Linked DNA regions of Solanum lycopersicum. The protein of the gene in region 1 interacts with the protein of each later gene in a pairwise test. Links are inferred from orthologs where the notes say so. Each region holds a gene or a part of one and is shown on either strand. Other genes may lie near its edges.

Region 1 (8,791 bases):
CAGCATAGTCGCAAATGTTACCAGGTGCCCCAGTAGGAGGGAAGGAATGACAAATGTCAGAAGACCGGCTTCCAACTTTCCATAGCAAAGTCCTGTTCCAAGATAACAAAAATAAACTCAGAGATCCTTAAATGAACGGAGACCGGAGTGTTCTACAGAAAGTGGAAGTTAAGAGAAGTATAATTTGTTAGATATGAATTATCTATCATAACCGAAAATGATAACTACAGCTAAGGGACAATCAGTAAGTTCCTTTATTCTGAAAATCAGTATACATTTTGTTACATCTCCAAAACCTCAACTTGCAAACAAAAATTACTATCTCTACTAGCCAAATGTGGTATCTAAAATGAGTTCCCATTTGATAATACTGTGATGTGGTAGGTGAAATTGTAACTGCATGTTTATAAAGATGTAACTGGAACCTAACCTTCCTTGAACACAAGTCCTGTCAATGATGCAAATAGTGGTCCGACAAACCAAACAGCTATTGGATTCTCGATAACATATTGAACTAGATTCATGCCAGCTGGGTGAGCAAGGGTAGAATATGTTGCCAATGATCCGATAGCACCGAGGAACCATAAAGCTTGAAGAGAGCGTTTAATTTCAGTCACATAAATGTGAATAAGAAATAATGACAGGCCAAGTCCACACGATCCAATTGCATAAAACAAATCAAGGTTTTTCTCAATCAAGTTACTCGTAACTGAATCATTGGGAAGCAAAGCCACAGAAGACGCAAGAACGAATGAAGCAGCCGCAGTTACTAATCCTGATCTGTACAAAATTACCTGCAAAGTTGATAACATTAACTTTGCATCATCGAGAGTTCGCCATCTTGATTGTTGCAAGAAGAAAATTTTTGTTTTATCTAACAAAATTCATTCAGGCAGGGGACATAGTAACAAAGACAAAACTGAAAAGAATTAATGAACATGAAGGGAGAATCTTTTGTTCATTAACATTGTCAAAAAGAATGCAAACCGATTTCAGTGTATTAGATTGCTAATATTAGCATCCTTCCTTTAGAAATATAGTAAGCATAAATATATTATTGTAGGAGCACAAAGTGCCAGAAACCTTCAATTAAATTTAAGCTATGCTGCATACATTTCTCTTCAACAGTGTTGTGCAACGAATTCAAATGCAACATCTCTAGGTTAAACTAATATATAAACAGCATGGCACAACAGGGTGGAGTTGGTTTTACCTCTCGAATATCAGAGTCTTCGATTGTCCAAGGGCCATAAACGCCTTGATAAATTGTAGGTTGGATCGTCTGGGACTGTGTCTCTGGCTGAGAGCCTTCTCCCAGAGCCCTGCACTTGCAGTCAAAATTGGACGATATTAGGGGTTTGCATTTGCCTAGCTGAAATTTAGACCGCGCTTTTCTAGTAGGAGGCGAGATGCTAAGTGAAAGTGAAATGTATGCTGATGCCGATGCTGTTACTGAATTCATGCTCCCTGGCTAGCTGTTGTCGATCAATGAACTCAAAAACTGTTTCCCCTTGTTCATCTACTCCTGTTAAACCCACAAGTCAAGTAAATGAGAATGTGTAAATGTTATGCATAAGACAAACGAATTCTACATTTACAAAAATATATCCACAAGAACAAAATCTTACAGCCATACTTAGCATCAGGAATGACTACCCATTCCTCAATCCAATAAATCAAAAAGTGATAGCAAAGGAAAACACAACAACAACTTACGCTGTATAATCCCACAAGTGGAGTATTTTGTGTACGCAGACCTTACCCGAGAGGCTATTTTGAAAATGAAACTTAGTTATATTACTAAAAACAACGCAAAACAGTAGTGAAGAAATTTCATGTCATTAAATGAGGACTATACCTTTGTATTTCCTCCTCCTTTTATGCCTAAAAAATACAAAAAATTAAACACCTTGACCATTTTTGTAGCTTAATCCTTGTTATACACCGATTCTTTCAGCCAAAGTTTTGAACAACGCATAATCTAAAAATTTACTTTAAAAAATGACTTCATTCAGGAAATTTATCAAACACATAGGATACAAATAGTTTAATCATAAGAGTCAATAATATCCAATTCTTAGCTAATAGAAGAGAACTCACCTGAAAAATTAGCTAATAGAAAAGGACTCACCGGAAAAATTAGCTAATAGAAAATGACTCACCGGAAAAATCATGGCTAAAATTGGACAATTTTGGTCGATGAACAAGAATGCAAAGGCTGGTAGTGGTGGATACACGTGGAACTGATCCAACAAGGTTTTTGTTGATACTACTAGAATATTCCCTACGGTTAAGCAAATTTAAGATAATCATAAAATCACTATTTTATATAAATATTATTTAAGATAATCGTACCACAACTTTATAAATTAGTTACATGGTTTGATTTCGAGTTTATGTAATTAATCACGTTTATATATGTATTATTTGTTAAAATATACAAATGCATATGTATAATATACAATTATTCAACCATCATATACAATTCACATCTCTCCCACTCTTTTCCCTCTCTCGCTCTCCTCTCTCGTCTCTCTCACAATCTCGCTCGCCTCTCTTCTCCCTCTTGCTATCTCACTTGTCATATATACAAATTCATATGTATAAGACATATTATTATTTAACCAATATACATATACAATTCAAATTTCTCTCATTCTGTCCTCTCTCGCTCGTCTCTCTCTCAATCTCGCTCGTCTCTCTCCTGCCTCTCTCAATCTCGCTAATTTAGTGGCTATACGTCAAAGTTTCCTTTTAAAAAATCAATACTTTGTATTAAGGGGAAAGACTCAAATATGTCATTGAACTTTCAGAAAAGACACATTTATTCCATCAGTTAAAAGTTTGACTCATTTATATCATTACTATTTAAAAAAAGGCTCATTCATGCCATTATTTTTTAATAATGATTTTGCAAAATCATTCACGTGATCAATTATAATTCGGTCACGTCATAAATTTTTTTAATAAAGAAAATTTTTAAAAAATTAATTCAATTTTTATTCAGAATTTTAATTTGTTTATTTTAAAAAATTTATGACGTGGCCAATTATAATTCGGCCACGTCATCAATTTTTTAAACAAAAAAAAATCTAGTTCAATTTTTTTTCTTCATAATTATGATTTTTTTATTTAAAAAATTGATGACATAGCCGAATTACAATTGGCCACGTGTCAAAATGGTTTTGCAAAATCACTGTTAAAAAATAATGGCATGAATTAACCTTTTCTTGAACGGTAATGACATAGATGAGTCAAACTTTAAACGGATGACATAAATAAGTTTTTTCTAAAAATTCAATGGCATATTTGAGTTTTTTTATTCTTGTATTAATAATAATAATAATTATAATATATTGTTTGGTATTACCTTGCGTCTCTAATTTCACCCCCTTTTCTATTGAAACCGTCAATAAGGTGAATACTTGGTTGTTTATGCGATTATTAGTAATGAAGATTGGTTTGCGAGTATTAATATAATACTAAAGAGATTATTGTTATAGATAATTACATACCTTAAACGAGTAGTTTTCATCTTTAGATATTTCATTCTGTGTAGAATAATGTATTTATTTTTACATAATTTATATAAATATTTTTTAAGATAATCGTAAAATCACTATTTTATAATTCTAAGTCGATTCTTTTCAATGCATTCAATCAAACACTATGTTCGTAAAAAAAAGTCAGGTGCTGAATCGAGAAAAGACACATGAAGGAAGTGGCAGCTCAGGTTTGACTTAATGACACTGAATATATTCTCAACGGTGATGAAAAGAAATAACCTTGTTCCAAGACATTCCAAGTTCACTACACTTATACATCCACAAGCCCGCCTAGCTCTAGAGCGTCGAGATTTGACATCGGACCATACCTAAATATGATAAGCATGAAGCCCAACCACTATCGAAAGATTCGCGATACTCCTCCTCCAAAAATTGCATAACAATTGCAGACGTGAGTCAAGGAGAGTCTACGTGAAGGTTGTGTTCTACAAAAGTTGCTCTATTAAGCTTTGTCATTCATTGTTTTGTTCATTATCAACAACATCAAACTTGCCCGATGCCGCAACCAAATTCTAGTACCAGACCTCGAGGTGTTTCTATTCAATTACTTTACTGTTTAATTTCATTTTATATTACACTCGTTATTCATTCATATTGATTAAAACAAGTTATTTTCTCCCTAAATTACGCATTCTCGGTCATCTCAGTCTGTATATACTCGAGTCACGTCAATAAATTTAAATTTACCATTTTTATCTCAAGCGAAATTTTATGCAGAGATTAGTTATTCGAATACATAACTAAAACACAATCCCTAAAGATCAAAACAAAAGAATTCACATGTACCCGGGAACGACGTCGTAATAATGAGCTGAGTACGTAGGGTTGGCGTGAGCTCTACTGTATTGGCAATTTCACCTGAAAGTTCCCATTTCCAAACCCTAACCTCCGTTTCTGTGCGAAGTAGAAGCAGTGAGAAAGAGAAAAATGGCAATTTCAGGAGATTTTAGGGTCTCCGCTACATTGGTTCCATACCCAAAGAATCCACTTCGGACCTCTTTACCTCCTTCAAAGGTTTGACTTTTCATAGATTAACAAATTCATGTTTTTTATACGATTTTAAGTGAATTGTTTGTTGGGAATTTGTTAAGTTGTTAACTTTATGGGAATGTTAGCTTCATCCAATCATTTCGCCAAATCTAAGAGATTGTGTTACTGTAATTTTTGAGGAAATTTCTATAGCTTTTCTTGGGTACCTTTTTTTAAAATTTGGTGATATGGGTCTACATTTGTTTACAAGTAGTTGTGATTTGTGAATGAAGTGAGCATCATGAGGTTTCAGATTGAAATCCCAGCAGAAATGAAAAAAACTAGGTGATTTCTTCTCATTTGTTCTAGCATGGGTGGATAGAGTTACTTGGATTCCTGTTGCTGTTGGGAGGTGTACAATGTACTCTTTTATAGTCAAAGATTCGTTTTTTTCTCCTCGGTTTTGAATGTAGAGTTCTAAGATTGAGAAACTTTCAGAATTGGAGGGCTTAAGTGCTAGGTGTCTTGTGTTTTTTAAAAGATGAGTAAGTGCTTGGTAACTATGTGAATTAGCTGTTTCCACCTACTGCTGATTAAGCTAAGTGGGAAAAGTAGCTAGGGCTAGTATGGACTATGGTTGATGGAGTTTGGAAATAGGTGAGAAGCATCATCTGAGTAATGTCTAGCTTATTGATCAGGGCTCTATTTAAGGATGTGTTTGGAGCTTCTGGGACTTGTTAGGTGAAGGATTTTCTTGCTAATTCTCTTTTGGCATGCGTGAACAGGAGTTGATCAACAGTGAAGGCAGGGATCATGAGTCCCAATGCCTTTGCTTGAGGTCTATATGTACACACACACACATGTTGAAACTTTTTTAGAAGTATTTTTACAGTCAATTGAGCATATTTTGTTACAAAAAAAAAGTAGTGAGCTTAGAGGTACTCCACACCCCTGGCTTATGATTCTGGACCTGCTTTTGTGACGGAAGCTTGGGTAATGGTCCCATGTTGTTGGTGTGTGTGTATTAGGAAAGTTCCTGTATGGTTATTGATGACTAAATTAATTTAGTTTTTTTTCCCGCTTTAAATAAGAGTTGATGGACATAATCTTAATCACCACTTTTCTTCTGGCTTACTTCATTTACATGTGAAGAAAATGAACTTAGGGTCTATGCGACCTCAAAAGCTAGCTATGAGATGAGGATTGTGCTAGACTGTGTACGGAGAAAACATACCATTCCCTCAAATATGGGACGGCTCCACCCCCATGCTCATACACACCCACCCACCCACCAACCCAGACCGAACTGGACATTTGGTGTGTAGAGAACATAACATGGGCGTCCATTGGGTAAACTAAGAACAGTGATGAGTTTGGTTGTGATGAACCTTGGGCTTAATTCAACATGAAAAGGTACCTCATGAGGTAAGGATTGTCCAAGACTATGTGAGGAGATAACAACCCATTAACTCAGGCTCAACCAATGTTCTAGTGGAAGAGAGTGTTTCCCACTGAATTGCTTGGACATTCACTACACTTTTTCCTTCTTTCTTGAGATGATGGCTTTTCTGTTAGGACTTAGGACACAGTAAAGTTTTCAAAATTATCTCAATGCATTGATTCGTTTGAGCTTATGTTGTTTGGAACTTTGGTTGTTTTTTCCCTTAACAGTTAACATTTTCTACGTGAATTTGGTGCCTTAACTCCGACTAATTTACATCTGCTCATGTTAGCATAGCACTAATTTACACCTGTTCATGTTAGCATAGCCACATTTTTTTAGTAATTTGATTTATAGGCATGTAGTTATTGCACAGATGGTAATGCCATTGGTGCATAGCCTTTCCAAAAACATGCACCATTGACATTATCAGACTTAAATATGTACTTGTGGTCTTGTTGCTTGAGACCTCTTCAATAACGCCTAATATGGTTCCTATAATTGCAATGAGGACTGAGTGGTTGACACTTCTAATACCGAATATTTGTGTCGCGGCATATTAGAGAAGCTGGCTAGGTCCTATTTAAAAGAAAAGGCTAGACTAATTGGTGCCTACTTGGTCTTCGTCTCTTTTGCCGAGATGGTTGAATTAGTTAACTGGGCCCTAAATGTGATTCACAGTTCAACTGGTCTTCTTCATTCTGCCTGGTACCAGGTCGATATGTGCTCAAAAGTTGCTTCCTTGATTTCTAGTTTTAGTTCAATTTTGTCTTCCTTTTTTCCCTCTTTGGATCTTAGAGCCTAGCTAAATGTGAGATGTTGTGTCCAAGCTGGATCAGATGTGCTCAAGGTGTAAAATATTCATGGTCATACATTTGCATCAATTGGGTCCATGTGTGCGTCTCTGTAAAAAGTACTTTGAACTCTTAACTCATCAGTGGATATGCTTGTGCAATATGTTTATTCATTGATTCACCTGGATTTATCGTTTGCTTCAAATGCTGAACTATATTTTTTTTCCTTGATAGATGAAGAAGCAATAAAATGGTTATGTTTACTTATTCCCCAACGAAAAACTTTTGCCGATATCCTTTTAAGTGCGTTCTCTATATCTTTTGAATCCTAGCACTTTCAAAGATTGGGTTATTGGTAAACCATGCTTGAATGTAGATTTTTAATATTTGCATCTCTACTTGTGCTTTTTACTAAAGCTGTGTCAGAAAAATTGTAAGCATTGGGAAATAATGGTTCCTACAAGCTGTGCAATATGTAGGAAAGCGTGTGCGTCCTAGCATCTTGTAAACAATTTCATAAAATGTGCCTAAATTTTTGTGTTGTGTTTTCCCATTGTTTGTATCATGACCACAATGAAAGATAATTTTCTTTCACATTGCAGGTAGATTTTAGTGCCTTTCTTAATGGTGGATCTAGTTCCTCTGAGGTGTTGCCCAAATGGTCTCGTCTATCATCTGATAGCCATAGCTTCCGATGCCACTCAAGAAAGCCTCTTGGGATTCTTGGAGACTATAAAGTAGCAGCAAGTTCCATCAGCCAGGAATTTGATAATTTACTCCTCAATGCTATCAGCATGAGCTTTTTTGAGCGCCTAAGCTTGGCTTGGAAGATAATGTTTCCACCATCCCCTTCGGCAAGTAATTCTGCTGCTAATGTTGCTAAGCAACGCCTGAGGATGATTCTCTTCTCTGATAGATGTGCTGTCAGTGATGAGGCCAAACAGAAGATTGTAAGCAACGTCGTTAGTGCTCTCTCTGATTTTGTGGAAATAGAATCGCAGGAGAAAGTACAGCTGAGCGTCTCAACGGATCCAGACCTAGGGACAATCTACTCTGTCACAGTGCCAGTCAGACGGGTGAGATCAGAATACCAGGTAGAGGATCCAACTGGGACAATAACAAATGTTGAGTACAAAGACACTGGAGATAATTCTGGTTCAGTTGATGTCAAGTTCGACTTTTACATTCCAGACGAGAATTTCAATGACTATGGTATGTGAAACCTGTACATGCCTTTGCCTAACCGGAAAGTGGGTTGAAATGTCTTGTTTGTCTGGCATTTGATAAATTCTTTTCACCTTTTTAAACATACTTAGTAGGTGTTACGATCAACTTAGACTGCTGTAAATACCTGAAAATCCCTTTTGGGAGTGTTCGATGAATTTGCTAGTATTGGTTACAATCCAAGACACTTTTGTAACAATTCGTTATATGTAACCATTGTTTTTAGGCAAGTGTGTATCTTCAATGCATTTTTTTTGTGTTTGTAAAAGAGTATTTCTGTTTGCAGGAAAGATATATCGGAAAAAGTTGGTTATCGAGATGAGATAGATAAGGATATATCACCTTCTATATGAGATATAAAATGGTTTTCGGGATTAATCAATATTCATAACCAAATGCAAAGATAATACATTTTTGGTTGGTATTTTTCTTATTATACATAGAGAAAGCTAAAGAAGCATTACCTATATTGTATACTAATTTATCTTAAAAAAACAAATCGTTAGACTAATTCGATTTATTTGTTGCAATTTTCTTATTTAGAACTACTATTATTCTATCGCAATAATAGAAGTCCAGTTTTACTTTGGATGAGATTTAAGTAGTGAAATCATACGTACCTTGATATTTAACTTAATGCATTATAATTGGGAGATAAATACGACTTTTTCGAAAGAACATGAGAAAATATTGTTACTACTCCCTTCATTTCAAATTAAATGAGTTGTTGAGATATTTTTTCATTTTTCAAATTAAATTAGTTGTTCAGTTTTCAAGAAATTTATTGAGTTGTTGAG
Region 2 (7,450 bases), on another chromosome or scaffold:
TAAGGAGTTTGTTTTTGTTTTTGTTTTTGTTTTGAGAAAAAGAAAAAGAAAAAAGAGGAGGAAAATAGGGTTATTAGTTGGAGTAGATTAGGGAATCAAAGATTGTATGGTTAGAAGTGGATGGTTGGTTATAATTGGATGAGTTCATTCACTATGTCGTCACATGCTAAAAGCATGAAGCAAAGATGATAGGTTATGTGTTCTCATAATTTGGATAAAAATCGATTTAAAATAATTAAATAAATTAATTTTATTTGAATTGATTTGATTTTACATTTATATATACATAATATGGTTTTTGTATAAACAATTTTAATTGTCTTATATATATTTTCGTTGAACATTTGTTTATTACTTCCTCCGTTCATAATTGTTTGTCAGGTTAAGGTCATGCACTCCTCTCAAATAAAATTTAATACAAAGTATAATTTGACTAATATAACCCTACTATAGCAAGAATATCAAAAGTCTACAAACTTTTCAATTGAACAAAATGAAGTAATTATTAAGGGCGGAATTAGAAAAAAATGACTAATTATTTCTTAATTGGTTAAATTGACAATAATCTTGGATATCTATTTTCAGTATATCACTTTTTTACCCTTTCAAGTTAGTCCTTTATTAACAGTGAAGAAACTAAAATCAAAATAAAAGGAAAGCAAATAGATACATTACCTATATATATATATATATATATATATATATATATATATATATATATATATATATATGATGGATTATTATATATCATATACACAATATAGATACATTACCTATACAAATAGCCATTTTATTGAAGTTACAATTATCATATTTTTAAAGTAACAATAACCCTTTTTACTTTGTACTTCATTTAATTTTATATATAACCAAATTATGTTGACTCCTAAAACTTTAGAATAAAAGTTTAGGACCACTAGCTGAAGATGTTAGTGCTCACTTGGGCAATTGCATAAGCATTTGGACTTTTAGAACCTCTTTGGGTCGCTGGCTTCCAAAAGGATTATATGATAACTCAATTAAAATTGTAAATAATAAGAAGGGAAACTCTCGCATATATTCATTTAAAAATAGCTTAATTATGCTCTATGCTATAATTTGATAATTTTGATTCGTAGCTATATGTTATAGGGAGGAAAGTGACAAGCAAGATTGGGAAAGGAGGGAGAGGCGAGCGAGGACAGAGAATGGGAGAGAGATGAATCGTATATGTAATCGATTAGATAATCGTATATATGTAACTGGTATACATATGTAGTTTTATATCTAGTGAGCGATATTGGGAGAGGGAGGAGAGAGGCGAGCAAGAGAGGACAATTATTTGTATAATTCACATCTCGTTTGTATAATTCACAGGTATGTTTGTACAATTCACGTATTTTTATATAATTGAGTAATACAAGTATGAAATTATACAAATATATGAAACTCAAAATAAAGAATTGATACAAACATAAACATATGAACTGTAAACATTTATTCAAATTATCATACATAATCCAAAAACTACACAGTTATACAAACTTTAAAAAGTTATTGTAAAAAGATTGAATATATATGGTGATAAAACTGAAACCCAAGAAAATCATCGTCATATACAAATACAAACTATCGTATACAAATATAAATCAAATGAAAAATTGTTACTTACGAATTATACAAACACGATTAGTTATACAAACTCAAAATCAACCCAAATAATATGATTAATGTTAGTCGCAAGTGACAATTATAACAAAGTATAATTATGATAACTAATTAAGTAGTATAATTTTTTTTAACCGTATATTCATAATAAGAAAATTTAAAACAATTGGTTGGTTTGAACGGAACCCACATGGAACTAGGTAAGACTGAGTACAAATAGTTAAACAATGACAGAATGACTCGAGAGAATATTGTACTTGATTTTGTTTATCAGTTAAATCCTTTTACTTACCACTTTTTCAATTGAATCATTAGATTAGTTATAACACTATTTTAAACCTTTTTTTTTTACTTTGTCATCTTATATGATTTATTTAAAGGGCATATGATACATAAGTCTATTAGGTCATTCTACTTAGAAAAATTAAATGAGACACATAAAAATGTGTTGTTTCTAGGATAACACACACTAGCCAAACAAATAAATTCGAATAATTGCACGATACGACATTTTTAACTATCTATAACCTTTTATTTCCTACACCATCTTTATACTCTTAGGAGGTAAAGGGTAACACTCATAGCTATAGATACCAGTCAAAACCTACATCATTAACTTCCTCATTTTCACTCTTCTACATACACAAATGACTCATTCATATATGTCTTATCTAAAATAATAATAAACACAAATAACCACAAAAAGAAAAAGAGGAATTAAGAGCATTAGGATCTTGTATCAATCTATTCAATTTTGAAGTATATTGATTCAACTTATTGATAATTGTCAATTTAATCATTAAAATTTTTATTGGAAGTCATTTAGAAACAAATTGACAAACAAATAAATCATAAATTTGAATTGACATGTTATTTCTTGCTCAAAAGCAAAAATTGATACAAGGTAGCATGGTTGACACTCAACGGTTAAAGACAAACAGAAATTGAAGTATGAAATTTAACCCTGATTTCATACACCCAATGATATAAAGATAATTTATTATCAATTAACCGTTAAAAATCAAAAATTTAATATCAAAAAAATTAAAAACCGCCATCAAAACTAATAAATCAATAACATTTTTTTTTTTACTCTGGGTTATCAATTTCGATTCGGATTAAAACAATTTAACTCCTAGCTGCAAGAAAGATATCTTACCTTTTTCACTTCCAGAGCCGTCTTCTTCTCCTTTCTGCTAAGCGACATCGAAACATGTTCTTGTGAAATTTCCTCTCTTTCACTCAAATACAACTCTCGTTCTTCTACACAAAAATGTTATCTCTGCAGCCGCTCAACCCTAAACCTTCCTCTCTCTACTCTTCCACCTTTACCCCTCCCAATTCCTTGTCTCCCAAAACCCTAAAACCCATTCCGGCCTTCAGGCCTTCTAGAAACTTCTACCCTTCCATCCATTCTATGCTCCAGTACAACCGCAAGCCTCAACTCGCCGGAGATACGCCGAGAGTCGTCGTCATTACATCCGGCAAAGGCGGCGTCGGGAAGACCACTACCACCGCCAACATCGGTCTTTCATTAGCTAGGCTCGGCTTCTCTGTCGTCGCCATTGATTGCGATGTTGGTCTCCGCAACCTTGACCTCCTCCTGGGCTTAGAAAACCGGGTGAATTATACTGTTGTCGAGGTTCTCAACGGTGATTGCAGACTTGATCAGGCTCTTGTACGTGATAAGCGGTGGTCCAATTTCGAGCTGCTGTGTATTTCCAAGCCCAGATCCAAATTGCCGATAGGGTTTGGTGGGAAAGCTTTGGTTTGGCTTGTGGATGCCCTAAAAGCTCGTGATGAAGGTGGTCCGGATTTCATCATCATTGATTGTCCAGCCGGCATTGATGCTGGGTTCATCACGGCTATAACTCCGGCAAATGAGGCTGTACTAGTGACAACGCCAGATATTACCAGCTTAAGAGACGCTGATAGAGTGACAGGATTGTTAGAATGTGATGGAATTAGGGATATTAAGATGATTGTGAACAGGGTTCGGACTGATATGATAAAAGGGGAAGATATGATGTCTGTATTGGATGTGCAGGAAATGCTAGGGCTTCCATTGTTGGGGGTAATACCTGAGGATTCAGAAGTTATTAGAAGTACTAACAGAGGTTATCCCCTTGTGTTGAACAAGCCACCAGCTTTGGCAGGTCTGGCATTTGAGCAAGCAGCTTGGAGGTTGGTGGAGCAAGATAGTATGGAGACTGTAATGATGGAGGAGGAGCCAAAGAAACGTGGATTTTTCTCATTTTTTGGACGATAGCGTAATGATTCTCTTCTTAGTAGTGGCTTTGGTAAGCTTTCTGTAATTGTTTGATTGTGTTTTTTGGAAGGTACTGTTGACACAAGAAAACTGTGTATAGTAGAGAGTTAAACGCTTGCATTCTTCCTTTATTACTATTCAAGATTCTGTTTGTAGGATAGTTGAAGATTAGTGCAACTGTTTTGTTTTTGTTGGATTTGAGCTGAAAACTGTCATGTGCTTCTGTGATTTTTCCTCCTCTCTTCCAATCTAAATTTGAGTTACTTACTCTCACTTTCAGTCCACTCTGTGATCTCCACTCTGTAGCCTTACTTGCTTACTATGCATGTACTTAAATCAGTGCTCACAAATAGATTTTCTATAAGTTTCCCTCAGCAGTGGTAAATTTAGATATTTGTGGGTGTAAAATACCTGTATTAGTGAGAGAATTATGTAGTCTCTTTGCAGACAGCTCATTAGATGTTGATATGCACAGTGCCTCAATCGAAATGGAACCTGTTTGAACTACCATAAGCATTGAATAGAATTGATTACAGTGCACAACAATATTGTACAAGGCAAAAAGCCCCTGCTCTACAAAAAGAAGCCAATCATGTGATTGGTGATCATTTTTTTGCCAAGACAAATACTTCTATTAAAAATTTGGATCTCCTTAACCTAGCAATTAATCAACAGTAGAGGACCTACAACACTATGATTCTCTATAAAGGACGAGCTATCATCTGTAGTCATAAATGCACCAACAAGAAACTAGAAATTAGGGGATATACTTTGAGTGTGAATAGCCATCCTCTAAACATTCGAAAGTTCTCTTATATCCTTCACAAGATCCACATGATTGCAGTCCATAAAGGGAGGAACTGTACTGCTACCAATATGCATAGTCAAGAATCAAGATGATCAGTGATGCTGGGAGGTGAACTGATAGGGATCAAGAAATACTATTGGGGTGCAACTCAGTACTTTCTTTCTCCATGCCTTCTGCATCATTGACCAGGTCTGTTCCCAGAGTGGTGAATTTGCTGCAGTAGAGAAAGCAATCAATGGATGCAAACATCTCAAGCAGTTGAACATTATGATCTTCATATCTGCATGACGAGATCATCTATCATGAGGTCAGGCTTGCCGCCATATATTTAGTGCAGATGAATGCGCACAATTCTAGGAACCTTCGCTTCAAATTTAGCCAATTATATGTAAAGGCTATTAACATCTTGAGTTTGCTGCCAGTCTCGTGATGCAGTATATTATAGTAATCTGTGCTGCAATTCAATTAGTAGTTTACGACCCACTGAAGTTATGTCTCCTGAAAAAAAAGATGTCCAATTCAAATCTCATAAATAAGGAGCGTAAAATTTGTGTACTTTTTTTACAATTACTATTACTGTCTTTGTTTTCATGTTTCCCTTTTGGTCGATCTAGTGAAGAATGATCTCCTTAGACAATGGACTAATGTTATACAAGGGTTTCCAGTCATGGAAATCAGAATGTTCACCTGCTCCTAGGGTCATGATGACAGTTTCATGATCGGGATCCTTGGATATCTGAACAACCAGCATTTCCAACACCTGTATCTGTTTAGTCAAACACCGTTAAGAGATGGGGTTTAACCAAGATGAAACACAAGTTGACTTGTGCAGTACTATAATTGATGTGGTATACTTAGAACAACGACGATAGATATACAGTTAATTAGAGAAAGAGAAGTTCCTCTGTTTCACACCAACGCATTTCACAAAGAGAAATTCTTTTATTCATTAGAGACCTAAGAATAGGAACTCCGTATTTTGTGAAATTAGACTTGATTATTTTTATGTTCAAAACATTTGCCACTACAAGGACATCAGAGCAAAATTTCAGGCAACTCCAACATCTACAACTGTGAGGAAGTTTTCTGTTCCGGCATACCAGGGAAGGGACAAACTCAGATGGTGGGCCAACTATAGATGCTGCAAGATCGCGTCCATTGATCTTCCACAGATTTGTTTCTCTGGCTTCATAAATCTTGCAGCAGAAACAAATTACATCTCCTTAGCCAAGACAGAAAAGGGGGACAAATATATTAACTTAAGCAGTTTTAACATCGGAATTCAAAAATGGGGCTAAACCTCTGTTATCACAACCCTGTCCGCATTAGTGAATGCAATAGCAAAGTCGTCTTTCAATGCTGCTAAACGACTGCAAATTATGAAAAATTCAAGCATTGTGCAATCAATGTAATTGTAATTTGGAAGGAGAATACTCTTGCAAATACCTGCATGTATGAGGCTGAAATATTACTACAAGTTCTTGAAATGGAAACCTCTGGCGTGCTGCTTGAAGAGTAGCTTGAATCTCGGTGGGATGATGAGCATAGTCATCATATATATGGCACCCACGGACTGTACCTATCCTCTCAAAACGTCTAGAAACACCTTCAAAATTTTGCAAGCGTAATTTCAAAGAAGCAATGGAACTGAGAAAGTTTTTCTCATCCGTAGAAAGAGCATTGATTGTTGCAATGACCTGCCGGTTGGAATATCCAAAGCAACAGAACTCAACAAAATATGTCTTTACTAGCAGTGGGGAAATGAAACAACTTAGCAAGCTGAACCGTGTTTTCTTCAATTACAGATGTCTAAACTATGATATAATCACGAGCAGCCAATAAAATAATTTTCCAGTTTTGGCCCCGTTGATGTATGAACAAGTTTAGATTGATTAACTAATACTGACATTTTTTTTTAGCCAATAATATTTGAGTAAAGATCATATAAGAAGAAAATAGTTCTGCAACTTAAACGTCTACTTACACTGATAAAACAAAAAATAACTTCTGAATGTTTACTTACTGCTAATGAATTAAGAACATTGTGGACTCCAGGCATTTGTAGGCTGATGTCTGCAATATGATGTCCCTTGTGAAGCTGGAATGAGGAAATAATATCTTTAGACTACATACATGCACGGGAATAATAGGTATTCAATACGCCACTTGCTTCAAATAATTCAGAGAGCAGGTATAAATAGAAAACAGCAAAAAATTACTGTACATGGATGGCACTATATTTTTGCATTTTTTCTGCAAGAATACTGTGCAGTTCTCACCATACAGAACTTGTAAAGCTTCAAATTCGTTAACAGAAATAAAAAGTTGGACTTGACAATTTTGCTATAAAACAGAGTTTCTTCACAAGACCTAGAACCTATTTGTTGGTCCATGTCAATATATATTCTTTAATCCACAAGCAAATTCGGGTCCTCCAAAATCAAATAAAGAATGTATAATAACTCAATTGAAGTGACACTGTAACCGTGCTGCATATTTCAAGAGATGGAATAAGGTCAAGCACTCATATTAGGTCACGTGAAGATTCAGAATCAAAAAAGAATATCAGAACCTGGTCTACTTCATATTCATTTGATCTAATGTTTGTTTTTTGTTCGTTCTAGTTATCTGATCCCTACTCCAAATAAAAACTGACTAAAACTTCAAATAAAAAGTCCAAGTTAACAACTGAATGTACAGTGTGTTTTTCAAATTTCAGAGTGCAT

Evidence for each region. The genes of interacting proteins can lie anywhere in the genome.
Region 2: the proteins of cell division topological specificity factor homolog, chloroplastic (region 1) and septum site-determining protein minD homolog, chloroplastic interact in binary tests that used the Arabidopsis thaliana proteins (3 or more experiments, as listed by UniProt). The link is inferred for Solanum lycopersicum from reciprocal best matches to the Arabidopsis thaliana genes MINE1 and MIND.

What each region holds. Positions count from the first base shown.
Region 1 is NC_090804.1:6,241,835-6,250,625, forward strand, and holds cell division topological specificity factor homolog, chloroplastic, read left to right. Parts: upstream 1-4,194; 5' UTR 4,195-4,493; coding exon 4,494-4,580; intron 4,581-7,372; coding exon 7,373-7,990; 3' UTR 7,991-8,224; downstream 8,225-8,791. Other genes in the region: uncharacterized protein, read right to left, coding at 22-92, 431-794, 1,214-1,462. UniProt on the Arabidopsis thaliana protein: Acts as a topological specificity factor during plastid division and specify plastid constriction sites (such as the Z-ring) in a MCD1-dependent manner. Especially involved in epidermal plastids division in a FTSZ1-dependent manner.
Region 2 is NC_090802.1:3,324,375-3,331,824, reverse strand, and holds septum site-determining protein minD homolog, chloroplastic, read left to right. Parts: upstream 1-2,920; coding exon 2,921-3,916; 3' UTR 3,917-4,144; downstream 4,145-7,450. Other genes in the region: uncharacterized protein, read right to left, coding at 5,609-5,920, 6,025-6,094, 6,171-6,421, 6,748-6,822. UniProt on the Arabidopsis thaliana protein: Together with ARC3 and MCD1, regulates FtsZ ring positioning in chloroplasts in an ARC6-dependent manner. Calcium-dependent ATPase required for the correct placement of the plastid division site. Inhibits FtsZ filament and ring formation in the plastid.